5 linked regions of the Macaca mulatta genome follow. The protein of the gene in region 2 interacts with the protein of the main gene of each other region in a biochemical or structural test. Links are inferred from orthologs where the notes say so. Each region holds a gene or a part of one and is shown on either strand. Other genes may lie near its edges. The genes, in order: UBE2E1, UBR5, PAIP2, PCK1 and OTUD5.

What was found.
Region 1: the proteins of UBR5 (region 2) and UBE2E1 form a complex in vitro, tested with the Homo sapiens proteins (2 studies listed by BioGRID). The link is inferred for Macaca mulatta from reciprocal best matches to the Homo sapiens genes UBR5 and UBE2E1.
Region 3: the proteins of UBR5 (region 2) and PAIP2 form a complex in vitro, tested with the Homo sapiens proteins (2 studies listed by BioGRID and IntAct, with this or other methods). The link is inferred for Macaca mulatta from reciprocal best matches to the Homo sapiens genes UBR5 and PAIP2.
Region 4: the proteins of UBR5 (region 2) and PCK1 form a complex in vitro, tested with the Homo sapiens proteins (2 studies listed by BioGRID, with this or other methods). The link is inferred for Macaca mulatta from reciprocal best matches to the Homo sapiens genes UBR5 and PCK1.
Region 5: the proteins of UBR5 (region 2) and OTUD5 form a complex in vitro, tested with the Homo sapiens proteins (2 studies listed by BioGRID, with this or other methods). The link is inferred for Macaca mulatta from reciprocal best matches to the Homo sapiens genes UBR5 and OTUD5.

Annotation. Positions count from the first base shown.
Region 1 is NC_133407.1:24,675,838-24,682,117, forward strand, and holds the start of UBE2E1 (ubiquitin-conjugating enzyme E2 E1), read right to left. Parts: upstream 4,052-6,280; 5' UTR 3,920-4,051; intron 2,762-3,919; 5' UTR 2,729-2,761; coding exon 2,577-2,728; intron 1-2,576. UniProt on the Homo sapiens protein: Accepts ubiquitin from the E1 complex and catalyzes its covalent attachment to other proteins. Catalyzes the covalent attachment of ISG15 to other proteins. Mediates the selective degradation of short-lived and abnormal proteins.
Region 2 is NC_133413.1:112,597,847-112,602,638, forward strand, and holds the end of UBR5 (E3 ubiquitin-protein ligase UBR5), read right to left. Parts: intron 2,768-4,792; coding exon 2,555-2,767; 3' UTR 1,596-2,554; downstream 1-1,595. UniProt on the Homo sapiens protein: E3 ubiquitin-protein ligase involved in different protein quality control pathways in the cytoplasm and nucleus. Mainly acts as a ubiquitin chain elongator that extends pre-ubiquitinated substrates.
Region 3 is NC_133411.1:148,223,901-148,230,419, reverse strand, and holds the start of PAIP2 (polyadenylate-binding protein-interacting protein 2), read right to left. Parts: upstream 3,575-6,519; 5' UTR 3,549-3,574; coding exon 3,411-3,548; intron 2,769-3,410; coding exon 2,589-2,768; intron 182-2,588; exon of another isoform or gene 1-181. UniProt on the Homo sapiens protein: Acts as a repressor in the regulation of translation initiation of poly(A)-containing mRNAs. Its inhibitory activity on translation is mediated via its action on PABPC1.
Region 4 is NC_133415.1:110,363,637-110,369,163, forward strand, and holds the end of PCK1 (phosphoenolpyruvate carboxykinase, cytosolic [GTP]), read left to right. Parts: intron 1-37; coding exon 38-225; intron 226-896; coding exon 897-1,059; intron 1,060-1,498; coding exon 1,499-1,723; intron 1,724-1,811; coding exon 1,812-1,943; intron 1,944-2,370; coding exon 2,371-2,466; intron 2,467-2,672; coding exon 2,673-3,127; 3' UTR 3,128-3,761; downstream 3,762-5,527. UniProt on the Homo sapiens protein: Cytosolic phosphoenolpyruvate carboxykinase that catalyzes the reversible decarboxylation and phosphorylation of oxaloacetate (OAA) and acts as the rate-limiting enzyme in gluconeogenesis.
Region 5 is NC_133426.1:49,031,691-49,038,068, reverse strand, and holds the start of OTUD5 (OTU domain-containing protein 5), read left to right. Parts: upstream 1-2,771; 5' UTR 2,772-3,560; coding exon 3,561-4,154; intron 4,155-6,378. UniProt on the Homo sapiens protein: Deubiquitinating enzyme that functions as a negative regulator of the innate immune system. Has peptidase activity towards 'Lys-48'- and 'Lys-63'-linked polyubiquitin chains. Can also cleave 'Lys-11'-linked ubiquitin chains (in vitro).

The sequences.
Region 1 (6,280 bases), on a different chromosome or scaffold from region 2:
ACTGGGGGAGGTTCTATAAACCTTCCTACTGGAGGACATTTCCTGTCCCTACAAATCTGTCAGCTTTAGAAAGGGGTTTGTTTACAATCTCAATTGACACGTATTTGTGTCCTGCTAAATTCTACTGCTACCAAAAAGCGCTTCATTTCTGAGACATTCATACTCCTGCTGTTTGACTCATGACTGTACATTAGACTCAAAGTTTGGAACATTGGTTTCCTGATTCTTTACCTGCATCTTTTCGAATAACTGTATTTTAAGACCTTCACACGTAGGCAAGAATTTCCTCCCCGGAGCACAACGCATATAAAAATACATATTGACTTGTCTTTCTTGCCAACCCAACTCCCACTATAAAATAGTCACGAAAAAGGTAGTTGTTTCTTTAATACCTAAGAAGTGTTAATACCAAAAAGCTTTATCAACTTCATCTTGACAGACAGCATTTGCAATTCCAAAAAACTGGCAAGAGATTTGCAGGACTAACTCATACCTATTTCCAGAGAGTCATTCTTGTTCAGACCACTTGCAATGGGGGGCTTTCCTCTACCCACGATTTAGAAACCACTTTCCAACATGCAGTTAGCAGCCTGTTAGTCTGCCAATTCAGGCTTCTTTTTCACTCCTTCTCCTGGTGAATGTGCCCCTTCCAATTCTATGGGCAACACCTACCTTTCAAATCAATATACTTCACAGAACAGCCTCTATAGGGTCCCACTAACATCAATTTTCCCCATTCTCTTTCCTGGATACACTGTCCCTCTCCTTTTTTTTTTTTTTTTTTTTTTTTTTACCTTTTGCTATTAACCTTAGGTCTGCTTTAACACTAATAGCTACTCTTTCAGCAAGATTATCAAGGAGCTAAATTCATTGCAAAAACAAAACAAAAGCACTGATGTTAATTTATAGGTAAAATTACTATTTGTAGCTTCCCACCTTTCATTTTTCTACACCTACCATCTCTTTTCCAGAACTTCCAGATAAATTTTTAACTTGTTTAAAATAAAAGGACAAAGTATGTCTAGTGAAAAAAATCCCCCTCTCTGTAATTCACTCACAATAAAAGCAGAGTATTTTCTAGTTGATAACTGGGTCTTTACCCCCAAATATATTCATGTACACCAGGGATATCCAGCAAAATATAAAAATGCAAATTACCAAAAGCAAGTATCCCGGCTTGAGCACGTGAGGCCAAAAAGTGAATGAGGATCAAAGAGCCTAGAGGATTGAGGTGGGGGGCAGTGTTAAGGAAGGGCCTGTCCCAAGTGGGCAGAGTAGATGCCAGGTTCCAGGAAAACCGCACAGGGCTAATCAGTGAGGGTCAGTTAGGCCTCCTGAGAAGCTGTACAATCAAACCAAACCTATAAAAATGAGAACAATCTTGCAGAGGCACCTTGCCACTTAAGACCTCCACACTATTTTTAAAAAGTCACTCATTCATCAGCTCATGGTTAGGTCACCAAAACACTGCCAAGTTTTCAAATTACAAGTCAGGCAAAATGACAGAACAAACTCTCAAACCCTGACTTTCAGGCTCACTACTCAGTGGAGAGATCTAAAGTCTCATGTTCCACTTTATTTTAAAAATTTTTAAGACGGGTATCCCTATCTAACCCATCATTTGGACTTCTTACTATCTTCCTGGTTTGCCACCTTTTTAACAACTGCCTAACTCTGATAGCAGAAGGATTTATGAAAGGGTGTCTCAGGGCTCCTAGGAATCCACTAAAGATTATTTTAAGGGTCATGGCGATCAGAGGATATTACTGAAGGATGGCAGGAGTAACAAGTAGCTACCTCCAGAGCCTTAAGAGGAAAAGAATAAAGAAAAAGAGAGACTGCTTAAATTGAAAAAATAAAGCAACGTAACATTTTCACAGCATGAGGACAGCAAATAGCATGAAAAAAAGACAAGTTTCCCTGAAATTTGGTAAACTGAAGTTTTTAAAGAGAACAAAAGAGAACCACAAAAATAACCTAGAATAACTATTTTATAATCACTTACTGATTCATTCATTTGCCTCAACTCTCAGAAAAATCTCTTTAAATTCCACCATAAAACACGTCTTCACCTACTCAATTTTGTACCTGCTAATACGAGTTTTATTCCTTATGCAATTTGTGAAGAAAGCTCTATTTAGAAAAGATCATCCATGCAACAGGTGAGGAGAAGGTAAAATGGTCACAGAATTCATTTTGATGCAGTTGTCTGGGCTGGTATTAGTAATTAAGAAATGGGATGATGGCCTTGGGGAAGGTCACAGATCGACCATTAGTAGGACAAGAAATCTGAAATCAGATTTGGGGGTCACTAATAAAAGTAATGAAGATTCTTACAAACTTCAGCAAGAAATGCGAGAGGCAAGCCACAATAGCTGCATGTGAGCAATGATTAAAAAAAAAACAGAAGCAGCAATAGAGAAAATAATTAGGGCTTCCAAGGCCCTTCTTTCATTTTTAAGAACACATAAACCATGAGGAGCGTTTAAGCTATCCTCATTGGGAGGCAGACCAAATGCAGCAAGAGGCAGTTCGGAAAATAGGAAGCCTATGGAAAAAAAAAAAGAGTACGGTACCTCTTGGCGCTGGTGGAGAGGAGTTTCGAGTTTTTGCTCATGCTGACTTTACTCTCCTTCTTCTTGGGGGTGTTTGTTTCTTTCTCGGTTTGCTGGTTGGAAGACGAAGATGAGGAGGAGCTGGTGCTGGCCCTCGAATCGTCATCCGACATAGCGAACCCCCCACCCCACCCCGCAAACAGCCCCTGCAGGGGGAGGGAAACAAAACAGAAACACACAAACCATGCAGCCAGTGTAAATAAGGAACTCGGGTGCTGTCAGGAGGGCATTGACCAGGGGCGCACGCGGCCGCCCACCGCCCTCCACTCGCTTTTCAAAGTCTGCAGGCCCATTAAGGCTTTTGCAAATCGGACGCGGCTTGTTTATTTTTGGCCCCAAGTGGGGAACGCTGTGGGAAAACGGTCTGGAGCTAGGAGAGCGGCCCCTCCCTCGCCCCCCCCGGGGCTCTCCGCTGGGCAGGGAGGGAGTAGCCCGGGAGGCGAAGGAGGGCAGGGCGGGGGCGCGGGGCGCCACGGCGGGGCAGGGAGGGAAGGTCCCGGCAGCCGGCCGGCCTCGGGGCTGTTTTTGTCCGCTTTCCGGGGGTCGTGGGGTGGGGGGCCGGTGGCCCGGGTGAGAGACTGTGGGGCCACGAGAGGAGTTTGGCGAGGTCGGGAAGAGAGGAGGGGCGGGAAGGAGTAAGAGAGGAAGCCGAAACAGGGGGACGGAGGCGGGGAGCGGGTGCCCGGGTGGGGGAAGGGAGAGGCCGGCGGGGGGCACGGGCGACAAGGCCCGAGGCCCCCCCGCGCCGCGCCCCGACGCCCCTCCCGGCCTGCCTGCCTCTGGGCCGCCCCGCTCACGGCTGCGCGGCCGGGAGGGGGTCCGGAGCACACGCCCGATCGCCACTCCTGGAGGGGGATAGGGGCTGCGGCGGGGAGTGGGGGGGGGGGGTCGGCCTCCGCAGCGAAGAAATAACAATGAGCCCTTCCGCCCCGGAGGGGTTAATCCCCGTGAGCCCCCGCCCCTGGGGAAAACGGGGCTCCCCCAACTCCCCCCCACCCCCGCTCCCGGCCCCCTCGGTGGCCAGTGGGGGGCTCTTGGGGCAGCGCTGACAGTTCGAGCCACAATGACCCCCGCCCCCGATGCGGGCGGCCCCCGCACCCCAAGCGGCCCGGGGTCCCTGCCCATCCCCCGCGGGCGGGCCCCGGACCCCTGGGGCTCCCCAGCCCCTCTCCGCTCCCCCCTCCAGCCCCGTGCCCGGCGGCCCGGCGGCCCCGGCGGCGCGAGTCGGGGGAGGCGGCGAGGGGTGTCCCCGAGGCCCGGCGGCGCGGCCGGGGGGCGGCGGGCCGCTGGGGGGATCCCCGTACCTCTCTTTGTGTCTGGCTCCTCCGTGCCGCCGCGGCGGCTGCTGCTGCGGCTGCGGCTGGGCCTGGCCACTCGTGTCTCTCTCGCTGGGAGAGAAGCGGAAGTGCAGCAACAGCAACTATTAAACAGGCAATGGCTTCCCCCAGCCACACACGCTCGCACACACACCACTCCTCCGCCGCCGCCGCCTCCTCCTCCTCCTCCTCCTCCTCGCCCTCACCCCTCCCCCACCCGGCCCGGTCCCACCCACCCTCGCTCCCCTCCCCCTGCAACACCTCCTGGGGGTGCGCGAGGAAGACCCAGGAGACCCCAGGAAACCGTGCCCCCCCCACACCCCCACCCCAGCGCCTCCTCCGGACGCCCGGGAAGGGGGCGAGGGGTGTGAATTTTCTCTTAAGTGGTTTGGGAACCTGGATTCTGGGCGGGAGAGGGGAAGCCAATGGAGATGGGGTCGCTGGGAGTGATTGGAACTGGATGGAATAGGGGGGTCACGAGAGAAAGTTCTTTCCAGTGAGGGCTTTTGGAAAGGAGAGGGGTAGGGAGGTGGCAAATTGGTGGAAAAGATGGTAATCTGGTGGTGGCAAAGACTTTAGAGAATGCAGCGGGAACTCCACCTAAAAAGCGATTAAAGAGAATAAAAAAATCACACAACAGGGGTTTTCTTTGGACTGACACTTGCTTCTCCTTCTAGCAATTTACCTGCTAGGAGCAGAGGTCAGTTTAGGCACGCCTGTGAGAAAATCCCAAACCAGGAATTTTCTGCTCAGGTCACGCGAGGCACGTGCAGTTTTACAATGTTAGATTCTTCCAGTCACTTTTTATAGAAAGTGATGTGGTTTTATAAGAGTGATACAAAGGTTTTGGTGACAGGTAAAACCAACGTGTAACGGGGCTTGCGAATGTGAGAAATCACTGGGTATAAGCTATATACTACTGAATTAGACTGGATTTAGAATTTTTGGTGTCATTTTACATTAGATACAAGGTTTGGTTTTTGGAAATTGGATGGAAAGTTCTGGGGATCGCAGTGCTTTCGTTAGCTACATATAAATGCTATTCAAATAATATTTTTGAAATGATCAGCAGTTCTTCTGAATTGTTCCTTATGTAGCATTTTTGCCAAATTTGTTTTTTTAATATTAATCTGTCAAATTACGATTTAGTTTCTCACATATTTGTCATTTCAGTTGAAGGGAACTGAAGAGATGTGTGCCATTCAGATACACCAGTGCCACACATACAAGGTCTTGTACATTAAGGAGACAGCCTCAGATTTCCATAGCTCGCTCTAAATTATCTCATTCAAACTGCCATCATTTTCCGCGCAACAGTGGCTTCAGTTACTACAGGACAACACAAGATATATGCCCATGGCATATCCAGTAACCAGGAAAACAAGCATTCTCACGACCCAGCCGAACTGCTTCTTACCATCAACCTGAAACTCCAGCTTTATCAAGACTCATAAAGTAATTGTGCATGCTTCTTGCTCAATCCCTACCAGGAAACCTGTATCTGCCAGGAGTTGTCACAGAATAAGAAGTTCAAAAGCTGGGCGATATCTTCAGGGTCATAATTTCAGCCTCCTGCTTCCAGACAGAACTATTTCTCCACCACTGAAATGCATATAGATTTTGAAAAAGTCTCCAGACATAACCTTTCTTAAGTGTTTGGTTGCAGGAGTCGTGGTAGAGTATATAAAAATGATGACGTCTCTGCTGTGTATTTGAAACATTTTTTAAACTTCTGAAAAACCGATTGTATTTTTGTTCTGATGAAAAGGTGTAAATTCAGGAGAAAACAATAAGCAGATGAAATAAACTCAGGATGAAGAAAATAATCTAAAAATAGTTATTAAAATTGAAATTTCCTCCTATGAAAATTTGGATTTCTGATACTTAAAAATATATATCCACATGATGAATACAACCAGTAAAGTCATGTGTTATAAAGACAAGAACTAGCAGAGATCACAGGAAAATAAAAGGCTTGATTTGCTGAAGTGATCAAGACAGTAGCTGAATTTTTTCTTTAATATTGGTTTGCATAAATTGAATACCAGCTATAATAATAATTCTTTTGAAACAGAACATGATATTGATATTTTGTGTTGCGTTACTGATGCTTGGGTTGGACTGATTCCTTGTGAAAGAAATCATGAAATCTAACGGCTCCTCCTATATGGAAAAGTGGTTTCCCAACCACCTGTATGGAAGGTTTCTGGCCCTCTTTTGTGTACCATTCCCTCTAATCTCCAATACCAGCTAGCTTAGTTTAGTGCTTTATGGTTTTGGCATGACCTGATGAGAGGGAATAAAAACTTTAAAATGTTTAGAAAAGAATCCAGTCCTCTCAGAAGACTA
Region 2 (4,792 bases):
TGTCTCTCAGGAGCTTTCAGCAGGACATTATATTTGTAAATAGAAAGGAAATATTCTTTGGGCAGTGTTTCACAATCACCTGGGATAATCTGAACGAAGATTTCTGGCCTCTACCGAAGACTCACTGAATCAGAAAGGAGGCAAGAGGATGAGGAATGCTTAAGAATCTGCATTAACAGACTCTACAACTGAATCTTACTACAGACGCATGGAAACTACTGCCTCAAGGGATTATCTCAACTTGAGTTTAAATATAGGAATTGCTGACTACCTTTAAACATGTAAAAATAGTAGCTTTATGGGAGGGATGTTGTTTGGGGGCAGCTACTAGTGAAATCATTCCTTTAAAATACCCTCTCAAGTCTGCCCCAGTTATCCATTATTCTGGGTAGTCTTGGTATTCAGATGATTTAGGGAAAAAAATAGTAGTAGCAAACTCTGAAAACACTCAGTAAAGTTCATCCTTGGTCTTCTCTTCCTAAATTTGTTTTCAATTGTTAGATTTAAACACTAAACAAGACCAAAAGAGAACTTTATTTTACATGTCTTTATTTTACATTTAGAACCATTTTATGATTTACTTAAAAAAAAAATCTGTTTTTAATATTACTAAAAGTATTTTTTAACCAAAATCTTGATTTAGGAAGACTTAAGACATTGTGCATTATTTTAAATATTTTCATTTCAGTAACTATTAAAAATAAATTCACAATTAGGGTTTCAAATGTCCTAATCATACCTAGTTTGTTCTCATTTAATATTTTATCAATCCCATCATGTGCATACAGAGGTTAAGGTGATATATAAGTTTTATATCTTTCAAACACATTGATGCTAATCAGCTCTTGATCTAATTACTATTTCATTTATTCAGAAATAGCATTTAGACATAAAAACCAATGTCTCACTTTGTAAAATAACCTTTGGCTAATTTACACACATCTAATACAGCGTGTTATATAAGTTTTAAGTAATACAATGAGTCACTACTATCATTCAGCTTTAAATATTTTTAGTGTTAACAGGGCTGAGAATATCATGTGGTTCAGTCTTCTGAAGGAAGTTATATAATAAAAGCATAGTGCCTTTGAACATGAAGACTATCCTCAAGGCCGGAAGTCCTACAAAGGAACTGAGAGATTCCAGAGAATTGCTCTCCTCATTTTTAATATGTAAAGTGACTGTTTTAAGTCACTTCACTGAAGACTTAGTGAAGAAAACAGTGTTGTTATGCCACTGAATAAAGCTACTTAAACCAGAGTAATTTTGGGATATTAATCCTAGGCTACATAATTAATGGGTCATCAAAAAAAAAACCTGTCAGTTATTAGGTGTAAGTTAACTTCCTATACCAAGTAAGGGGTCACACTTCACTTCCCCCATTTGTAAAAAGAAAAGGTGGCCAGGCCAGTGCCATTTAGGATTCTCTGCTAACTGTAAAATGTGGACTGATTTTCTTCTGTTTCTTATAGTCCAGGTGTATATAAACTTCCAGTTCTTTAAATCAAAATTTTTATGCACATAACCATGTCAGTGTATTGCCCTTAGTTTAAAAATGTACAACTACATAAATAAAAACTATTGTTTCTTCAATGTTACTTGACATTTCTTCTGTAATTTCTTTATTTAAAAAAGTAAATGTAACAAGATACTTAAAAAAGGCTAGATACAAAAGTAGTTAAGCTGCTCACGAACATTTAAAATTTTCCAAAATGTATCTTCAATAATCATGATCTTATAAAACATTTTACAGTTATCAGAAAGTGCCCAGGCTGAGTTTACATAACTGAAATACCTTAGTACAAATGTCTAGTTAGAACTGAAGTGCAGTAACCTCTTGACTGACTGCTCGTTGAAATAGGGATACAAAGAAAAAGTTGATTGTGATAAAAGTATTGTGCATTGGCCCCATCATATGTACAAAAAAAGTGCCCTCACTCAAATGAGCAAATTACATGCAAAATATTAGTGATATCATTTAATATCCTAGAGCTCAATGCAGTCAAACCGCAATAAAAGTGGTTTTTGTAGGTAAAAGTGATTTCATCTCTTAAGATCTGAATGTCGAACTTTTTTACAAGTTCCATATACATGATACACAGTTGCAGCCAACCACAAATTAAACACCATAAAAAAAGTTAAAATGAAAACACAGAACATACTTAATTTTTTATTTTGAAATTCCCTATTCCCTCTATACAAGAACCTTTGCTGAAACAGTTTCCACAAAGGCAGCAGTGAATTTTCAGAACATTTACATTTTTTCCCCCTCAGCAAAAAGATAAATCACAGTGTAAATTATGTTGTTCTGCTGTCATCTTTGGCTGGGGTTAGACCCAGAAGTTGGTGACTAGCAAACCAATATAGCCAAATGTTGCTAGTGCTCCTCAGGCCTTTAAGCTATAAACTGAGAAAGGAATGTCTGCATTTTATCTCTTTAAGGTACCACCAGGGGGGTATGACAGCATTAACTTCCATAAACTTTTATAGACAAATGGAAAAAATCTACAAAATTCGCTAGTAATATTACACAGCAATACACACTTTTTATACTCTACACAAAACCAAAATTCTTGGTCTTAATGGCGAGTAACAATTTCTGTTTGAGAATCTGTTTAGAGGAATAGAGTGGGACGTAAAGTCGAGAAATGCAAGTATTTGCAGTAGGAAGATGTTGGTCATCTGGTGGTCTTATTGTGATTGAGGGCATAGGCTGGAATCCTTCTTCACTGGCTGGCAATGATGGGCTTGATGTCCAAAAGTAAACCTAAACAGGAATTTAACAGGTTAATATTTAACTCTCAACTCTGGCAATATATACACAAAGCCCTATTGTTATGAAAGGAGATATTATTTTGAATTGGGTTTTAAATATATTTTCTTATACTAAAAAGGAAAGGGATCATTCATACCTCAAGACAGGTTTTTGTTGTTTTTTTTTTCCCCAAGGAAGTAAGTCCAGAGTAGAGGAAAAAAAGGTGACTTTCTGTTACAGAGCCTCAGTCTTTTCATCTGTAACATGAGGCTGTTGGACTAAATGGTTTCTAAGAGCCTTTCTTGCAGCTAAATTCCATAAACTGTCTATTAGTGGAAAAAAGGCTACCAAACAAAAGATATGGTCTTAGGTTCAAAACTCACACAGGTTATCTTAAAAAGTTATTTTGCATTAAGGAGCAAAATAATGTAAATAATAAAGCAAATAATAAAGCAAAAAAAGTATTTACTGCTACACTGTGATACGGAATCATTTTATAATAGTAATTATTGGGGAACATCTATGCATCAAAATTCATGCAATAAGCCATGTTAACACTAAGTTATATATCTATAATAAAACTTTGTGCAACACAGTGTAAATGATGCTCAGTAAATGTTAACTTACGCTTTTTAACTTAACCAAGGATACGCCTCCCTGAAATATTTCACTGAACATGTAACATTCCTCATCAATCCATCCCTTCATACATACATATGCATGTGTCTCTCTCTCTTAAGGAAAAGCTTTTTTTTTAATCTAATCATTTTAAAACGCACAATTTAACAATGAAGTATATCCAACTTCCTAGAATGACTAGGAAACCTAAACAAACTTATGATTTCCTGAAGCACAGTTGCATGGGAAAGCTCATCTAGAATTCTATATAAAGGGACAGAAAAAAAAGAGAAAACCTAAGTATCAGGATCTATAAAATCTGAAAAGAAATAGAAAACTGGTACTCTGGAGATGAAGCTGATCCAAACCACTCATTTCATAGATAAGAAACAAGCTTAATGTAAAGTGTTTCTTCAAGGATGAATGTGGTTAACCAGGGTAGATGACCTCACTGCTGGATCTCCAAGAAGTTGGAAGAAGAGAAATACTTTTACTAGTGAATTATACACTCCAAGAGGGAAATAAACTGTAGCGTTACCCAGTAACTCTGGAAACCTATAATTTGCAGGACTAATTAATTCATGGGAGAACTGTTTCAGAAACCCCATTCTTATGTCCTCTAGATGCATCAGGATGAAACCAACAATATGTGAAGGATGACTTCCCAAAAAGAGGAGAAGGGTAAGGGGGAGGAAGATACCATGATATATTGCTTACACCCTAAACACAGATTTTCAATAAGAGTTTAAGGTTCACAAATTAAAGCTGTTGACAGGAAATTCTGAGGTCTTCATAGAAGGTTTTCTTTTTTCTAAGATTGAGTCATTAGCAAATTTTTCTTTCAGTAGAAGGCAGAAACTCATGAGATTTAAGTTGGCTGACTGGACTGAGGAAATACTGGTTTAAAAACGGCAGAAAATTAAAACTTGGGAATAGATTAAAACAGATAACTTAGAACTTATACCGGATAGCCAATCATTTCTATTTCTGTTTTTGGTGGTTCTTACAGACTTGATATGGCCCTTGTCTTAAGGAAACAAGGTGCCCTGAATCTAAAGACTGACTAAAGGTGGCAGAACTTAAGCTATTTAGGTGATCCTGAAACCAACAGGGACAGTTATGGTATATGACACTAGTGGGAACTTTAACAGCCACAAGACTGGGGAAGTCAAATGCTGACCAATTATATCAAACCTACCTGGTGAACAAACTAAGTCAAAATTACCAGGGTGGCTAAAAGCTGAGAAATGAACTGGGTGGCAGTTAGGACTGCTGAACAAACCTATCTCACCATAGCAGAGAAATATTAGAATACACTTAAGAGCCATGTAAAGATGAGTTCCCCTCCTTCCCTCCACCACCTCCAAAATAAACTCTTGCCTATATGAAGGTAACTGGGAATCTGCAAGTTTTTTCTTT
Region 3 (6,519 bases), on a different chromosome or scaffold from region 2:
ATCTAGGAAGAACACCTAGAAATTTTCCTCTGTGGTATTTTAGACTGCAAATTGATAAAAATAAAAAGAAATGAGGACAGGTTCCAGGGCCTGAAATGTAGGTATGCTGGAAGGCTTTTACATTGAATTTGACCCTACATCACTTCAAGACTAATGCATAATATTAAACATGTTGAAGAAATAATTTTAGTTTCGTAATTTATACATAGCAGTTTCTTTGGACAGGATATAGTCTCCATTCCAGCAAGGGAAATAATGTATCTATACTTTAAAAGTATGAAGTTTAAGGAAAAAAAGCAGCATTCCTGTTCTCTTTGAGACAGGGACTCGCTCTGTTGCTCAGACTGGAGGGCAGTGGCACAATCACAGCTCACTGCAGCATCGGCCTCCTGGGCTCAAATGATCCTCTAGCCTCTGCCTCCCAAGTACCTGGGACCACAGGCCGGTGCCACCATACTCAGCTAAGTTAAACTTTTTGTAGAAATAGGGTCTCCCTTTGTTGCCCTGGCTAGTCTCGAACTCCAAAGTGATCCTCTCACTTTGGCCTCCCAAGGTGATGGGATTACAGGCATGAGCCACCATATCCAGGCACAGTGTTCTTAAATGAACTATCTTTCGGAGCAACAGAAGAATAAGAATGAAACAAAGTAGTATCACATAGACTGAGAAGAACAAACCAGCTTCTGTACTATGGAATTATACTGGGTCCTGATTAAAGCTATATATTATGCTCAGCCAAGAGTGTTACTCTGCAGGGTAACTGGGATTATTTACGGTGACTAATGTAGCCATAAGTCATCATACCCCACAGACTATTCAGATCATACGGCTGCTCAAATGGGTTACCATCACTTACTGCAACAAAGGCTATACCACAATGTAAACTTCAGTGCTCTCTACACCATTCCTTAGAAGAATGTTTTCCAAATGCCCAACTCAGGCAGGTTGGCTGTATAATAAATCCTCTGTAATCCTTTTAAAAAATTAACATGCTCAGACAACTGAGCATGTTGGGATGCAAGTAAAGAACTGGTTTTTGTATTTAATGCTTCATAGGTAATTACAGTGTACAGATTAGTTCAGTGGACCCAGCCAGTTCTCACTAGTGCTGATGTTTAGTTGTAACAATTTTCCCCTCTTCCCCAATTTTTCTTTTTTTTTTTTTTTTTTGAGAAGTCTCACTCTGTCTCCCAGGCTGGAGTGCAACAACGCCATCCTGGCTCACTGCAACCTCCACTCCCCGGATTCATGCGATTCTCCTGCCTTAGCCTCCCGAGTAGCTGGGATTACAGGCATGTGCCACCAGGCCCAGCTAATTTTTGTATTTTTAGTAGAGATGGGGTTTCACCATGTTGGTCAGGCTGGTCTCGAACTCTTGACCTTGTGATCCACGTGCCTCAGCCTCCCAAAGTGTTGGGATTACAGGCATGAGCCACTGAGCCCAGCCAAAATAAGATTAAAGAGCAAAACTTCTCCATCAAGCTACTTTTGTATAGGCAAGTAACGTGATAATATTGTGTGTGTTTTTAAATTATTAATTCTTTAGGACATTTAAGTACCCTAGGGCAACATCAGGACTAAAAGCAGGGGCTAGAAGTCCATTTAAGACTAGCTCCACAGTGTTGCCAGAAGTGATTCCATGTCATGAGACTCTGCTTCCATCGTAAAAAGCAGCACAATTTCTTTTTCCTTTTTTTTTTTTTTTGTGAGACAGAGTCTTACTCTGTCACCCAGGCTGGAGTGTAGTGGCACGATCTCGGATCACTGCAACCTCTGCCTTCCAGGTTGAAGCAATTCTCCTGCCTCAGCCTCCCAAGTCGCTGGAACTACAGGTGCCTGCCACCATGTCCAGCTAATTTTTGTATTTTTTTTTTCTTTTTGAGTCAAGAGTCACTCTGTTGCCCAGGCTGGAGTGCAATGGTGCAATCTCCACTCACTGCAACCTCCGCCTCCCAGGTTCAAGTAATTCTCCTGCCTCAGCCTCCTGAGTAGCTGAAATTACAGGCATGCACCACCAACCCAGCTAATTTTTGTATTTTTAGTAGAGATGGGGTTTCACTATGTTGGCCAGGCTGGTCTTGAACTCCCAACCTCAGGTGATCCACCCACCTCGGCCTCCCAAAGTGCTGGGATTAAAGGCATGAGCCACCATGCCCAGCCAATTTTTATATTATTTATTTATTTTTTTTAATGGAGTTTCGCTCTTGTTGCCCAGGCTGGAGTGCAATGGTACGACCTCGGCTCACCGCAACTTCCATCTGCCAGGTTCAAGAGATTCTCCTGCCTCAGCCTCTTGAGTAGCTGGGATCACAGGCATGTGCTACCATGCCCGGCTAATTTTGCATTTTTAGTAGAGATGGGGTTTCTCCATGTTGGTCAGGCTGGTCTCAAACTCCTGACCTCAAGTCAACCACTTGCCTCGGCCTCCCAAAGTGCTGGGATTACAGGCGTGAGTCACCACGCCCAGCCAGAAGCAGCACAATTTCTGAAGGGGAAGAAGATGCAGAATTCTTAAATAGATGGGAACTGGCTTTTCCACTTATGCAAAAGTTGCACTAGGTCTTAAAAGATGAAAAATAAGTTTTTACCACAAGATCTTCCAGAGAAGAGCCATCACTGATAACAAGGTCATTAAACTGGTCTTGGATTTGGTCCATAGTTTGTGGGAGATCTCGAGCTGGAATAAACCATTCATGCTCTTCTTCCTCTTCCAGCATTTCTTGGAAACAGCGTTCAATAAATTCTTCTTCCCATAACTCCTCTTCTATCTAGATTTATAATAAAGATAATTTGTAGCACACTTGGTAGATATCACTAGGAATGGCTTAAAATATCTTGAACTAAACCATTTAAAGGCACAAGGTCACACTTTCTTTTCTGCTTCTGTGCTAAGGAAAAAAATGCTTACCATAATGACCTGCGAAGATCTGTTTAGGGTTTTTCTGTTTTTACTTTTATTAGTAGAACATTCTTTTTTCCATTGAGAGTGGCAGGGAAGAAGTAAAAAGAGATGCCTGTCTCTTTTTTCTGTGCCTGTCTACTCCTGACTCCTAAATTCTCTTGACTTTCACAGCAATCTGACTGGTGTATCTGACTGGCGTAAGGCAGTGGTTTCCAAATCTGATTGCTCACTGGAACCATCTGGGAGCTTTGAAAAAGTTTTCCAGGCTCCACCCTCATCCTCCTGATTCAGAATCTCTAGGGTGGGACCCTGAAACAAGCTCCCCAGGTTATTTCCATAAGCAGTTAAGCCTGGTAGTAATCAGCAGCCAAATAAGTAGGAGTGGTGGCACATCAGTCTACATACTTCATACATAAAGGACAAGATAAACACATTTCACGGACAAGTACAATCATATTGAGGGCCGGAATGGACTATGAAAAAGAACATGTTTGTACAAAAAACTAACTTGTCTGTTGAATTCTTCTTCATTTTCCATCCACATGTACTCTGCAAATGGATTGTCATCTTCATGAGAATGACCGTTAATAATCACATCTTCATTGATGATGCTTGGGCTAGTACTGCTGCGACTTGGATCTTTCATGGCTGATGTTGGTTGTCGTTTTTAACCTTAAAAGAACAACACCACAGTTAATTTACTTACTTATTCAGGGTTTTTTCTTTTTGAGACAAGGTTTCACTCCATCCAGGCTGGAGTGCAGTGGTGTGATCATGGCTCACCACAGCCTTGATCTCTTGCCTCAGCCTCCCAAGTAACTGGGACTACAGGTGTGCACCACCACACCACCCAGCTGAATTTTTTTTATTTTTTGTAGAAACAAGGTCTGTGTTACCCAGGCTGGTCTCGAATTTCTGGGCTCAAGTGATCCTCCCCACCTCAACCTCTCAAAGTGCTGGGATTATATGCATGCGCCACCGGGCCCAGCTGATTCTTTCAGTTCTTAATGAGCATCTGTTTATTAGCAGGCATCATGAATAGGTGTTAGAGGCAGATGATACACGGTAAGTTGCACAATTGGAAAGCTTCATATTTTTTTTCCAAATGATTTAATGTTTTAATAGGAGAGGATAGCTAAAACATCTAATGTTTTCCTTTTTGTTGTTGTTTTTTTTTTTTGAGATGGAGTTTCACTCTGTCACCAAGGCTGGAATGCACTGGCATGATCTTGGTTCATTGCCACCTCAACTGCCCAGGTTTAAGCAATTCTCCCACCTCAGCCTCCCAAGTAGCTGGGATTACAGGCACGTGCTACCATGCCCAGCTAATTTTTTGTATCTTTAGTAGAGACAGAGTTTCACCATGTTGGCCAGGCTGGTCTTGAACTCCTGACCTCAGATGATCTGCCTGCCTTGGCCTCCCAAAGTGCTGGGATTACAGGTGTGCACCACCGTGCCTGGCCACAGCTAATGTTTTCTGATAACAGTAAATGAAGTACATCAGTTGCTTACATGGGACTCTCCAAACCATCCAATTTATATTTTATATTACATATCACTTGCTTTATAAAGCAAGCATGGTCGGCCGGGCACAGTGGCTCATGTCTATAATTCCGACACTTTGGGAGGCCTGGGCAGGTGAATCATTTAAGGTCAGGAGTTTGAGACCAGCCTAACATGGTGAAACCCTGTCTCTACTAAAAATATAAAACAGCACTTTGGGAGGCCGAGGCGGGTGGATCACCTGAGGTCGGGAGTTCAAGACCAGCTTGACCAACACGGGGAATCCCCGTCTCTACTAAAACTACAAAATTAGCTGGGGTGGTGGTGCATGCCTGTAATCCCAGCTACTCGGGAGGCTGAGGCAGGAGAATCGCTTGAACCTGGGAGGCAGACGTTGTGGTGAGCCGAGATCAAGCCATTGCACTCCAGCCTGGGCAAAAAGAGTGAAACTCCATCTCAAAAAAAAAAAAAAAAAAAAAACTAAAAATGAAAAAATTAGCTGGGCATGGTGGCACATGCCTATAGTCCCAGCTACTCAGGAGGCTGAGGTGGGAGAATCACTTGAACCCAGGAGGTGGAGGTTGCAGTGAGCCGAGATCGCACCACTGCACTCCAGCCCAGGCAACAGAGTGAAACTCCACCTCAAACAACCACCACCACCACCGCCGCCGCCGCCAAACACAGTCTGGAAGACTGAGGCATCAAGTCATCAAGTGATTAAATGATGAAGAGCAAATTCAATTTTTAAAAACTGACTTCAAAAAGTCCAGGGATTGAAAGTGAAAACAGATTTTTTTTTTGAGACAGAGTCTTGCTCTGTCGCCCAGGCTGGAGTGCAGTGGTGTGATCTTGGCTCACTGCAAGCTCTGCCTCCCAGGTTCACGCCATTCTCCTGCCTCAGCCTCCCGAGTAGCTGGGACTACAGGCGTCTGCCACCAGGCCCGGCTAATTTTTTGTACTGTTTTAGTAGAGACGGGTTTTCACTGTGTTAGCCAGGATGGTCTCGATCTCCTGACCTCGTGATCTGCCCGCCTTGGCCTCCCAAAGTGCTGGGATTACACACGTGAGCCACCATGCCTGGCCTAAAACTAACAGATTTTTAATAACCTCTCAGGTTCTTCAGGTATAGTTCTGATCTCTCCTTCATAGCCCATTCTGTGTCTGCTTTTTCTCTAGGTCCATGTCAAGTTCTGCCATGTCTGGATTTCCTCACTGTACAGTGAGTTTCAGGCATCTAGTATCTTTTTTTTTTTTGAGACAGGGTCTCATTGTGTCACCTAGACTGGAGTGCAGCAACCTCCGCCTCCCAGGCTCAAGCAATTCTCCTGCCTCAGCCTCCAGAGTAGCTGGGATTAGAGGCGTGTGCCATTATCACCCAGCTAACTTTTGTATTTTTGTAGAGACTGGGTTTCATCATGTTGGCCAGGCTAGTCTTGAACTCAAGACCTCAAATGATCCACCTGTCTCGGCCTCCCAAAGTGCTGGGATTACATGCATGAGCCATCGCGCCCAGCCCAGTCCAGTATCTTTTCATCTGAGTATAAGTTGTATCAAATATAAGCCTGATGTCTTATACTACTCAATAGCTGATAACATGATCTAACCTAATTGATACATTGCAGGCTAAATATTTGAAGCACAAGGTTTCACATTCTAAAATATTCCAATTCATTAAGTTTGAAATCGCTAAAAATAGGTTTACATAAAACAATTCACCTGTACATAAACTCAAGCAGTATTGTGACTTGTGCCAAAGAAAGGTCTAATGAGGTCTGCTTAGTTCAAATTTATCATAATCAAGTAAAATACTAAATCTAAAATCTCCTACTGGAAATATATGTATTTTTTTTTCCCTCTGGGATACATTTCAGGGAAAAGACTAGTCCTATGTGTGTTGCCTGGCCCTTTAAATTTTATGGATTTACCCTTAAGAGGACATAAGCGTAATAAAAATCCAGAGCTGTTCATGTAATATGACAAATACTAGATACGAATGACAATAGGATCACAGTGGTGAAAATTTTAATTGTTGAGAGGTCATCAACTAAAAATTTCTGGGAACTTCTGTCCTAGCTATAATATGTATGTCTACAAAAGAAACGCAGGCCGGGCTC
Region 4 (5,527 bases), on a different chromosome or scaffold from region 2:
CCTGGCGCACTGACGTGGGAGGGGTCCTTGTTCACAGAGCCTTTGGTCAACAACTGGCCCTGCAACCCGGAGCTGACGCTCATCGCCCACCTGCCTGACCGCAGAGAGATCATCTCCTTTGGCAGTGGGTACGGCGGGAACTCGCTGCTGGGGAAGAAGTGCTTTGCTCTCAGGATAGCCAGTCGGCTGGCCAAGGAGGAAGGGTGGCTGGCAGAGCACATGCTGGTGAGTCTGCAGGAAGCCCTGACGTGCAGATGAGAGGCCCGGGGGGTGGCAGAAACAAACAGCATTACAGTTCCCATCCAGCAAGACCCAGTACACCTTTCCGAGCATGCAGGTTCCCAGACAGATTGGGAAACCCCACCAGTAATGATTAGTGCACACGTATACGTCACTTTTGAAGGGCCCCAAACACCAGGGGACCATCGAGATCCTTTGGACTTCATGATTCTGGGAATGTTTGTTTGCACTGATACCTGAAGAAATAGATCTTGAGGGCCTACATTCCAACCTCTGGGCTGAAGTACCAACCTCGGGGAGAAGGGAACAAAGATCACAATAAAGAATCTTGTCCCCGGTGGGCGCGGTGGCTCACGCCTGTAATCCCAGCACTTTGGGAGGGCGAGACGGGCGGATCACGAGGTCAGGAGATCGAGACCATCCTGGCTAACATGGTGAAACCCCGTCTCTACTAAAAAATACAAAAAACTAGCTGGGCGAGGTGGCGGGCGCCTGTAGTCCCAGCTACTCGGGAGGCTGAAGAAGGAGAATGGCGTGAACCTGGGAGGCGGAGCTTGCAGTGAGCCGAGATCTGGCCACTGCACTCCAGCCTGGGCAACAGAGCCAGACTCTGTCTCAAAAAAAAAAAAAAAAAAAATGAACCTTGTCCCCAACAGATCCTGGGTATAACTAACCCCGAGGGTGAGAAGAAGTACCTGGCAGCTGCATTTCCCAGCGCCTGCGGGAAGACCAACCTGGCCATGATGAACCCCAGCCTCCCCGGGTGGAAGGTGGAGTGCGTTGGGGATGACATCGCCTGGATGAAGTTTGACGCACAAGGTGACTCTTTTAGACCCAACTGTTGGTAACGATTGGACTCAAGTGAATTATCGGCCTTCAAAACATGCCACGTTCTCCTTGATCCAGTGTTTGGATTTTTAAATTCTGTTAGTCCAGAGTTGGCCAAACCTTAGAAATACGTATTCTGTAAGAATTCTTCAATTTAATATTCAATCTGGATTGAAACTGGGCCATATGTTGCTGTTTGTTTACATACATACATTTGTTTAAATGGTATTGGTGGAAAATTGTGGAGGAAGCAAGAATTGTAAACATCTCAAAGTTGCATATGATGCTTGGATGAAAAGAGATAAATGTACATTCTAGGGAGGGAAAAAAGATTTGAGAAGTTGGCATAGAAATTAGTCCGGCAAGATATAAGAGTGTATGTTCTGCTTTGCCTGGCACCCACTACTACTTCTCTGGTTTAAATCTCCAGGTAATTTAAGGGCTATCAATCCAGAAAATGGCTTTTTCGGTGTCGCTCCTGGGACTTCTGTGAAGACCAACCCCAATGCCATCAAGACCATCCAGAAGAACACCATCTTTACCAACGTGGCCGAGACCAGCGAAGGGGGCGTTTACTGGGAAGGCATTGATGAGCCGCTAGCTTCAGGCGTCACCATCACTTCCTGGAAGAATAAGGAATGGAGCCCAGAGGATGGTGCGTCCCCGCCAGAGGCCTCGGTGTGCTGGGCTGCAGGGACTGCCTGTTTGAGCCAGGCACTCATGGGCCTTTCTCCATCTTATAGGGGAACCTTGTGCCCACCCCAACTCGAGGTTCTGCACCCCTGCCAGCCAGTGCCCCATCATTGATGCTGCCTGGGAGTCTCCGGAAGGCGTTCCCATTGAAGGCATTATCTTTGGAGGCCGTAGACCTGCTGGTGAGGTTCTCGTTCATTTAGGCTGGGAACATGGGTGTGCTGGGTACCGAAGGGCATCTGTGAAATCTCTGCTTTTCCATGACCTTGTCAGAGGGTGTCCAGGGGCTTCCTTTCTTGAGCTTCCTTTCCAAAGAGCCAGAATAATTGGCAAGTTCAAATGTAGAACCCTTCTGGTCACCTGGAACCTTTCTGAATCCTTAATCTATCACAGCTTGATCAAATTTTACTTTTTACTTTGTGGCCTCAGTCACGTAACCTTGACTTAGCAGTTTTCTGCAGTTTAGCTTGGTGAATGCAAAACTAGCTCGATTACAAAGTTATTGTCTTTCCATGACTTTCCATGTTGTGAATAACACCACTGGTTGTAGAGGCTGAATTTTAAAGCCTCTAATGAATGTTTCTTTTTTTTTTTTTTTTCCTGCTAAAGGTGTCCCTCTAGTCTATGAAGCTCTCAGCTGGCAACATGGAGTCTTTGTGGGGGCGGCCATGAGATCAGAGGCCACAGCAGCTGCAGAATATAAAGGTAAGTCAAAGTCCTGATTTGAAACCACAGAGAAGTGGGATTAGAGCGCTCTTCTTCACTCTTATGTCTCTCTCCTTCTCTGTGTCTGTGTGTGGGGAAAGAGAGAGAGAGAGGAGAACAAAGCATGCTGATGTCAACAATCAATGGGGCCAGTTTTGCCTAGGAGAGCATCATTTACCAATGGAAGCTCCCTCTCTGTTTAACAGGCAAAATCATCATGCACGACCCCTTTGCCATGCGGCCCTTCTTTGGCTACAACTTCGGCAAATACCTGGCCCACTGGCTTAGCATGGCCCAGCACCCAGCAGCCAAGTTGCCCAAGATCTTCCATGTCAACTGGTTCCGGAAGGACAAGGAAGGCAAATTCCTCTGGCCAGGCTTTGGAGAGAACTCCAGGGTGCTGGAGTGGATGTTCAACCGGATCGATGGGAAAGCCGGTGCCAAGCTCACACCCATAGGCTACATCCCCAAGGAGGATGCCCTGAACCTGAAAGGCCTGGGGCACATCAACGTGATGGAGCTCTTCAGCATCTCCAAGGAATTCTGGGAGGAGGAGGTGGAAGACATTGAGAAGTATCTGGAGGATCAGGTCAATGCTGACCTCCCCTGTGAAATCGAGAGACAGATCCTTGCCTTGAAGCAAAGAATAAGCCAGATGTAATCAGAGCCTGAGTGCTTTACCTTTAAAATCATCCCCCTTCCCATCCATAAGGTGCGATAGGAGCGAGAGAGGGCAAGTTTTCCCAAATTGATGCCACCATAATAATCATCACCGCCGTGCGCAGATCTGAAAGGCACACTTTGATTTTTTTAAGGGGAAGAACCACAGAACACCAGCTAGTAGCTAATGAAAATGAGAAGGGAAATCTTGGCATGCCTCCAGAAATTCACACCCAATGCATAGTTTGTTCAAATTTAAGGTTACTCAGGCATTTGATCTTTTTAGTGTTTTTTCACTTTAGCTATGTGGATTAGCTAGAATGCACACCAAAAAATACTTGAGCTGTATATATATGTCTGTGTGTATATGTGTGTGCATGTACGTCCACATGTGTCTGTGTGGTATATTTGTGTATGTGTATTTGTATGTACTGTTATCGAAAATATATTTAATACCTTTGGAAAAATCTTGGGCAAGATGACCTACTAGTTTTCCTTGAAAAAAAGTTGCTTTGTTATTAATAAGTGTGCTTAAATTATTTTTATACACCATTGTTCCTTACCTTTATATAATTGCAATATTTCCCCCTTACTACTTCTTGGAAAAAAATTACAAAATAAAGTTTTATAGAAAAGATGGATTTGCTTTGCTCGGTTTTTCTTATTTGAGCTACCAAGCAGAGTGAACTCTGATTAAGCATCTTGTGATTTAAATCCCTGCCCCCTCCCCAAGAAGGTGTGGACGTTCAGAATCACACTTGAAGAGCGGGTGGGTTGTCTGGTCCCAGGGAGAAGGAAGGAGCAGATGGGGAGGAATGAGGCCGGGAACCGTGGTTGGGGTTTTCTGAATTTGTTGAAGCCACTAGTTGGCGCCCTTTAACAATTCTACAAACCTTTAGATGGTGAGGCTTCTGTGGCTGGACTGGGAAGGTTTAATGTCTGCTTTTTGACAATTTGGGTCTGGAGGGGGCTTAGGCTTCCACAAAAATTACTTTGTGGACAGTTTCATAGGCTTTTGCCTTTTAACTCTTCAAAGCAACAGTTTTCTCAACTGTCATCCCCGCGGGGGAGTGGGGAAGACAAGTGTTCTTGAGAAGGAAAAGCTGACAGGATCTGGGTTGAGCAAGCATTAATTGAGCGCCTTCTGTGTCCTGGACATCATGCCAACACCATGGGCAGCCCGAGAAGAGAGGTGGGTGGTTTGGACCCCAGCTCTGCCTTGAACCTCACCTGCTCTCCTCTACTCCCAGTGTTTATTGGATATTCCAGAACGGTACAAACAAACCATAAACCTTATATTACAGGTTCATTCTGTGTAAATACTATTATCTTCAAGTTGTAGTTTCTTTCTTGGGTCCAGGCTGTGAAATTGGCTTCACCCCTACCACACCCCAGCGGACAGGCTTGTTCTCATGTCACGCTCCACCCCTCCAGTCTCCTCAACTGGAAAACTTGCCTCTTTTCCTCACTTCCTCTGCTCCTTACGATGGCTTCACATGGAAGGTGAAGCCGAGATCACCCCAATTTTACAGGCGAGGAAACTGAGGCCAGGAGTGCCTATTGGGGCTGAGAAATTGCCAGGATTTCCTTCCCCATTAAGGAGCTGAGAGTCCTAGCTCCAGACTCATTGGCTTGTTCTAACATCAAAACCACTGATGGGAAAAACCACTTAGTGGAATTCAATGCTATCTGCTGTATTAGTTTAAATCAGTGGCATTCAAACTTGTTTCTCCTTTTCACTGCAGAACACGTTCTTGACATGTACTTGACTCAGAGTCCCACGACTAAAGGAGACAGAGCTCAAGGCAGCCCACCTGAGGCTGGGGAGGGAGTCCAGAGTGCAGGCCACCTGGCCTCCATTTCCCCACCCCTTGGGGGCCTTTGGGCAGCTCCTTGAACCCCTGAAAGGGGCCACCAGGATAAAGTTTGTTAAAATGCATGCCTTGTGCCCCACTGTCATATGATGGGCTTTTGGTACTCTTCACTCCCCCAGCAGGCAAAGACACTGGCCATCCCCAAATTCCTTCCCCTCCTGCACAGCGTCACCCACCTGCCAAGCAGCCTCATGTTGGACCATTTGCCAGCAGGCCCTGCAGGTCTGGGGGACAGCCTAGAGGTGGTGACTTACATGCGCAGCATAAGAGTTTTCAGGGGACCAAAAGGACTCAATACATGCCATTGGCTCCTGACTCAGTTTCCCCAAGCCATGCCTCCTGAGTGCTCCATCTGTCTCCAAATCCTGGTTTCTGTGCGGGGACCTCTGTCTACAATAAACAGGATACTATGAGCTCATTCTTCAATGTCCTCTTGTCATGCTTTCAGATGATTCAAAGTATATAAGCTAAGCCCATTTGCAGGAAGCTCATAGAGGGCGACTGGCTCATCACTTGAAAATACGGTT
Region 5 (6,378 bases), on a different chromosome or scaffold from region 2:
TTGGATATCATCTGCGCCAGCTTCCTGATTCACAGATGGGGAAACTGAGACCCAGAGAAACACATAGAGGAGACTTAAACCCAGGCTTCCTGACAGCAAACAACTCTGAATTTAACCCTAATAAAAGCATCACTTGGTTTGGTGAATTTCCTTTCCTTATGGACGCCCCCTACATTCTCTCTTCTGGGCTACTGGCTACACTAGGTTAGTGTGTGGCTGAGTTCTGTAGAGCACTGAGCAGACAGACGATGGATTCAGGTTGATCTGGGTTCCAGTCCCTGGGTGAGAGAATCATTTACCTTCTCTTGCCTCAGGTTGCTAATCTGTGAAATAGGGATAATTCATTTAGTCACCAAATATTTATTAACTTCCATTATGTGCCAGCCCTAGGGATACAAAGGTGGGCAAAGTAGACATTGTCTCTGATGTATAGTTGAGCATGGAAGGCAGACAAGTAATTACAACATGGTGTGGCAGAACTAAGATCCATGGGTTATAGAAGCATGCAGATGGCAGGAGAACTTAACCTGGCCAACACACAAGGAATGAGTTGGAGTTAGCCAGGCAGCAAATCAAAGGATGCAATGTTCTGGGCAGAGGGAACAGCATGTGCAATGACCTGGAGGTTAGAGAGTGAGCTCAGGCCTTTGGGGAACTGAAAGTATTTCAGTCCAGCTGGGGAGGAGAGTGTGGGGCTGAGGAGAGGAAGGATGGAGAGGTAGGCCAGATAACAAAAAGCTTTGACGCTATGACGCGAATTTTGAACTTCATCCTAAAGATAGTGGGGACTTCTAAAGGCTTTTAAACAGAAAAGTCATGATGAAGTTTGTGTTTCAGAATGATCATTCTGGCTATGGAGAGTAGATATAGAGAAACAGTCCTGGAAGGAAGAAAAGTAGGGAGGAGGCTTTTATAATAGTTTAGGTGGTAGGGGACAGTGGCTTGGACTAGAGTAGTGGCAGTAGAATTGGAGAGTCTAGAGATTTGGGAGGTAGAATTGGCAGGACTTGGGATTGACAGGCATGTGGGAGTTGAGGAAGAGGGAGCAGTCAAGGTTGACTCCCAGGTTCTGGCTTGGACAACGGCTGGATGGGAGTGCTATTCCCTGGTAAAGGGAACATCAAAGCTGTTAGCACTCAGTGCTAGGTACATAGTAAGTACTTGGTGAAGGGTAGCCATGATTACTATCTTGAGTTCAGTTTTAGATGTGTAGTGAGTGAAATATATGGGGCTAGGGTGAGATGGTCATGAGAAGATTCAATGTGATAATGTGCATCTGGCACAGAGCCATGAACACAACAGGCCTGGTAAACATGAAAGTCCCCTCCTCCCATTAAGTCTCATGAGCAGAAAACACTACTTAGAACCCATTTATTACTTACACCTTTCAGGGAAGAACTTCAACTAGGGTTAGTATCTGAAGGGAGGCAAGGCTATACTCAAAACAGCTTTCCCATGGTCTCTTTCAGTCAACCTGTTGTATGGCTTGTCTCCTAAGACTGGAAGTGAACTCCAAATACCTTCTTGGTTCATCAGCTCATCTGAACCCCATAACCATTCCCTGAGGTAGTCTGGGCAGGCATTATCATTCCCGTTTTACACATGGGTAATCTCAAAAGCAACACAATGACTTGCTCAAGATCATACAGTTGGTAATGGTCCATCTGTGCCTGGAACTGAGGTCTTTCTGGCTCCAAAGCCTACGATCCTTCCACTGCACCACCATGCAGACTACTTTATTGAACACTTCCTATGTGCTGGGCACAACACCAGGCCCTTCAGAAGCATTAATCTCTGATCCTCAGATTGGAATTATCATTGCCAATTTATAGAATAGAAATTGAGGATGGGTGCTCACTTCGCACCACATATACTAAACTTAGAACGATACAGAGAAGATTAGCATGGCACTATGCGAAAGGATGACACGCAAATACGTGAAGCGTTCTATAAAAAAGTAAACAACAATAACAAAAATTGAGGACGGGGTGGGAGTTAAATGACTGACAAAGATCAATCAGACAGGAAGCGCAGAGCTAGAATTAGCGTGTAGCTCTCCAGCTACTCAATAGCAGGGATTCTGCCAACCCCATTTCGAGACGCTGACTGGTGACAGAGCTGATTCATAAACCTCGATCGACCCAAGCAAACTCAGTTTTAGAAAAAGGCTGGGCTTGGCCAGGCGCGGTGACTCACGCCTGTAATCCCAGCACTCTGCGAAGCCGAGGCGGGAGGATCGCTTGAGCCCAGGAGGTGGAGATCAGCCTGGGCAACATAGCGAGACTTTGTCCCTACAAAAAAGTGAAAAAAAAATTAGCCGGGCGTAGTGGTGCGCGCTTGCGGTTCCAGCTATTCGGGAGACTGAGGCGGGAGGATCGCTTGAACCTTGGAGTTGGAGTTTGCAGTGAGCTATGATCGCGCCACCGCATTCCAGCCTGGGCGACAGAGTGAGACCCCCGTCTCGATTAGAAGGGGGGGAAAAAAAAAAAAAAAAAAAAAAAAAAAAAAAAAAGGCTGGGCCGCGCCTGCGCACTAGCCATAGGGCCGGGGAGGTCAACCCGAGGGCGAGAGTGCTGTGGTGCCAGAGAAGGCGTGTCTGTTTCCCAAACAACCACTGTCCCCACGGTGCTTGTCTGTCCCAAGGTTGGTCGGTATGACGCGAGTGACGGCGTCTTTTAGCCAATCACCGCAGAACTCAGGCTGTTGCCGGGGTGAAGCGGTGTCCGCCTCCCCCGGAAGGATATTTGTAGGTGGGTGGGACCGGAAGTGACGCTACAGGGGAATGCTATGCTCTGGGAGTGTTGATGTTTTCCAGTCATTCCGGCTGACAGCGTTCAAGTTGGAAGCCTGGAGGGGAGGTGTTTTTCCTGTCGTACGTGGGACAGGCCACGCTGTCCGTCCGCAGTACCGACGACTGCGAGTCAGAGCTTCGGGGAGAAAAGTGAAGAGCAAGACGGGACCGACGGGGAGAAAGGCTGGGAACCAGGGTGTCGACTTTGACTGAAATTTGAGACGGAGGGCACCGGAGGGCGAGCACTCGCCTGTGATTGGCCCGTGGGCGTCGTCGAGGACCCACGCAGCTGCTCAATTGGTTGGTGTTCGCAATTGTTGTGGCTGCGGCGGCGATTTTGCCCACGTACTTCCGAGCAAGGGGCGGGGCTGTGCCCTGGCGCGCGTGCGCAGCGCCCCGGGGCCCCACCCGGTAGTGCAAGAACCTGCGAGGGGGCGGAGCGAAGAGGTGCTTGTTTTGGTTCTGTTTCCTTTGAAGCAGAAGGCCGGAACAAGCGTAGCAATAAATTTGCTGGACTTGGAGAGAAGGTTCCGACAAACTCGCCGCACTGCCTTCATCTTGGACTTTACATCCGGGTTCTCCTCCCGGCGTGACCCGCGCGCCGCCGCCGCCGCCGCCGCCGAGGGTTCTCGAACCGGTGCCGCGATCCCTTTATCCGGGTTTCGCCGTTCCCGTCGTGCTTAGCGCACTACATTAGCCCCCCCTCATCCGGGTTCTCTCCCGGCGTGCCTCGCGCCGGGTTTGTTGGGGGGTACTCGGCGGTGCAGCCATGACTATACTCCCCAAAAAGAAGCCGCCGCCTCCCGACGCCGACCCCGCCAACGAGCCGCCGCCGCCCGGGCCGCTGCCCCCGGCGCCGCGGCGCGGCGGGGGTGTGGGCGTGGGCGGCGGCGGCACGGGCGTGGGCGGCGGCGATCGCGACCGTGACTCCGGCGTCGTGGGGGCCCGTCCGCGAGCTTCGCCACCGCCTCAAGGCCCGCTACCAGGACCGCCGGGCGCACTTCATCGCTGGGCGCTGGCCGTGCCGCCTGGTGCAGTGGCGGGTCCCCGGCCACAACAGGCTTCTCCACCTCCTTGCGGGGGCCCAGGTGGTCCCGGCGGCGGTCCCGGCGACGCGCTGGGCGCAGCGGCGGCGGGTGTGGGTGCCGCGGGCGTGGTGGTGGGTGTGGGTGGTGCCGTAGGCGTGGGCGGCTGCTGCTCCGGGCCTGGGCACAGCAAGCGGCGACGTCAAGCTCCCGGGGTTGGCGCGGTTGGCGGGGGCAGTCCCGAGCGTGAGGAGGTCGGCGCAGGCTACAACAGTGAGGACGAGTATGAGGCGGCTGCAGCACGCATCGAGGCTATGGACCCTGCCACTGTCGAGCAGGTAAGAGCTGCGGGATGAGGGGTGGGCGGCTACGGCAGATGGGACCCCCAGACTGTGAAGAGCCTCAAGGAAGGCTGTTTGAGATCGCCCCAAGGGATTTAGGCGTTTTCACTGGGCCTGATAGTCTTCTCTGGTGGTAGGGGTGTGAGATGCCTTCTTTCCTCCCCTCCAGGGATTTGGGGCTAGAGGTCTACGATAAGGTGGCAGACTTAAAGATGGGATCCGAGGCCTCTTTTAGGGTCTGTAATCGTCATTTCAGTCCTTGGGACCTCATCTTGTAGGGCCAATAGGTGGGAATTCTCCAAGAGACACAGGTAGGATCGCGCCCCTCTTGAGCAGGAGTCTCAGGTCTTCCAAAAGACCTAGGTCTGTGTTCAGTGGCTTAAGAGCTCTTTTCCTTTGGGATAGAAGTTTGAGATTCCTCCTCCAGGAAAGTCAAATAAGGTGGAGACCTCAGAGATCGGGTCTGAACATCCCCAAGGAGCCTAAGCCCTTTCAAGAGTCTAAGACACTCTGCATGTAGGACAGTCCTCTCCTGCTTCGCTAGGTAACACGGCACAGGACCACTGAATAGCCAGACCTGAGACCTCAAGGGTCCTAAGTCTGTCTTCAGGGGCCTGAGAGTCCTTATTGTAGAATCAAGGTCCTGACACACACAGACACACACACACACACACACACACCCTTTAAGGACAGGGATCTTCTAAGCTTTTTCCAGGGATGTAAGACTTTTCGCAGGGAGATATGATTCCCTTGCCCTTGGGGACAGGGACCGAAACCAACACCCAAGGACCAGCAGCTTTACTTGAGTACAAGAGACTCATCCGCTTTCTGAGTGACAAAGGTCTGCATTTCCTATCAGTGGCTGAGACCTACCTCTTCGGAGACAAGGCCCTGACTCTCTTCAGGATCTTAAGCTTCTTGTAAGAAGAGATGGGCCCTCAGCACCCCCACCAGGGGCCTGAACCTTTCTTCAGGAAAATGAAGACTCACAGCGTTGGATCCTAGGGCCTAAGATCTATCTGCTTATGGACTGAGGTTTTTAGAGACCGAGTCTGAGGCCTCTTTGGGGGCGTGGTGTTCTGCTGCAAAGGTCTCAGACAAGGTGAAGCCTTAGGAGATTCTTCTTCTTAAGACTAGTGTCTGAGTGGTTTTGGGGGTCCGAGACTCCCTACCCCACAAGCATATGTGACCTTTTTACCCCAATTATAAGGGACTGAAACATACCTTGGGGATACAGTATCTCATTTTCCCTTTTGTAACAGGGGTTTGAGGCCCTCCCCTCTTTGGGCCTAAGCTTCTTGTCAGGGACATATGACCCTTGCCTTGGGAACTTGAGCCTGAGACTACTCCTCAGGGGACATGGGCAACATGGGATCCCAGAGATCATGTCTGGGGCCTCCCTACAGATCTCTGCCTACATTTAAGGGCCTGAGACCCACTCTGCCAAGGACACTTGAGCTTTCCTTCAGGGATGGGAGACTCATACATACCCTGGTGACTTGTGTGTCTAGAGGTAAGGTCTGAGCTTCCTCCTCAAGGAACTTAAGGTGTACCCCTGAGAAACAGGAGGACTCCTCCCCCGACGCCTGAGCCCTGAGACCCTTCCCTTGGGGCATGGATAAAGGATCCCTGTGGAACAGGGTCCTGAGTCTACCTCCAAGGGTTTGAATCCTACCTCAGGTGTGCGAAGGCCTGTTCCCCACCTTAGGACCTGATTTCTGAACCTGTCCTTAGGGTACTGTCACCTCACCTCAGACAACATACATACACCCTAGTCATAGGGGTCATTTAGGGATGTAAGATTTCCTGCCTCGGGGACTTGGGCCTCAGATTCCCAATTCCTTTCCGGGACATGAGTAGAGTAGGATTCTGAGGAAAAGAGTCTGGGCCCGAGCTTCCTCTCTGGGACAAGATATCGTTTGCCTTAGGGACTGGGGCCTGGCTCCCACTTGGGCATGAGGCTCTCCCCCTACCACACCAGGGATTCCTTTCTGTACCGGGAGAGGAACGTGAGGTCATCCTCTCCCATTGGACAGAAGGACCTGGATGCTCTTCAGGGTCATATGAACCCCTTATCCTGAGCTCCCTCGTGGCCAGGGCCAAGAAGATCCTCCTCCTTTCTATGAGAAGATTGTCAGGTCCTGGGGACATGGAGTCTGGAGCCTCCCTTCTGAAACCAGGAGCGATTCAGAGTTTCTCCCTGACCTAGCTATGCTTGCTT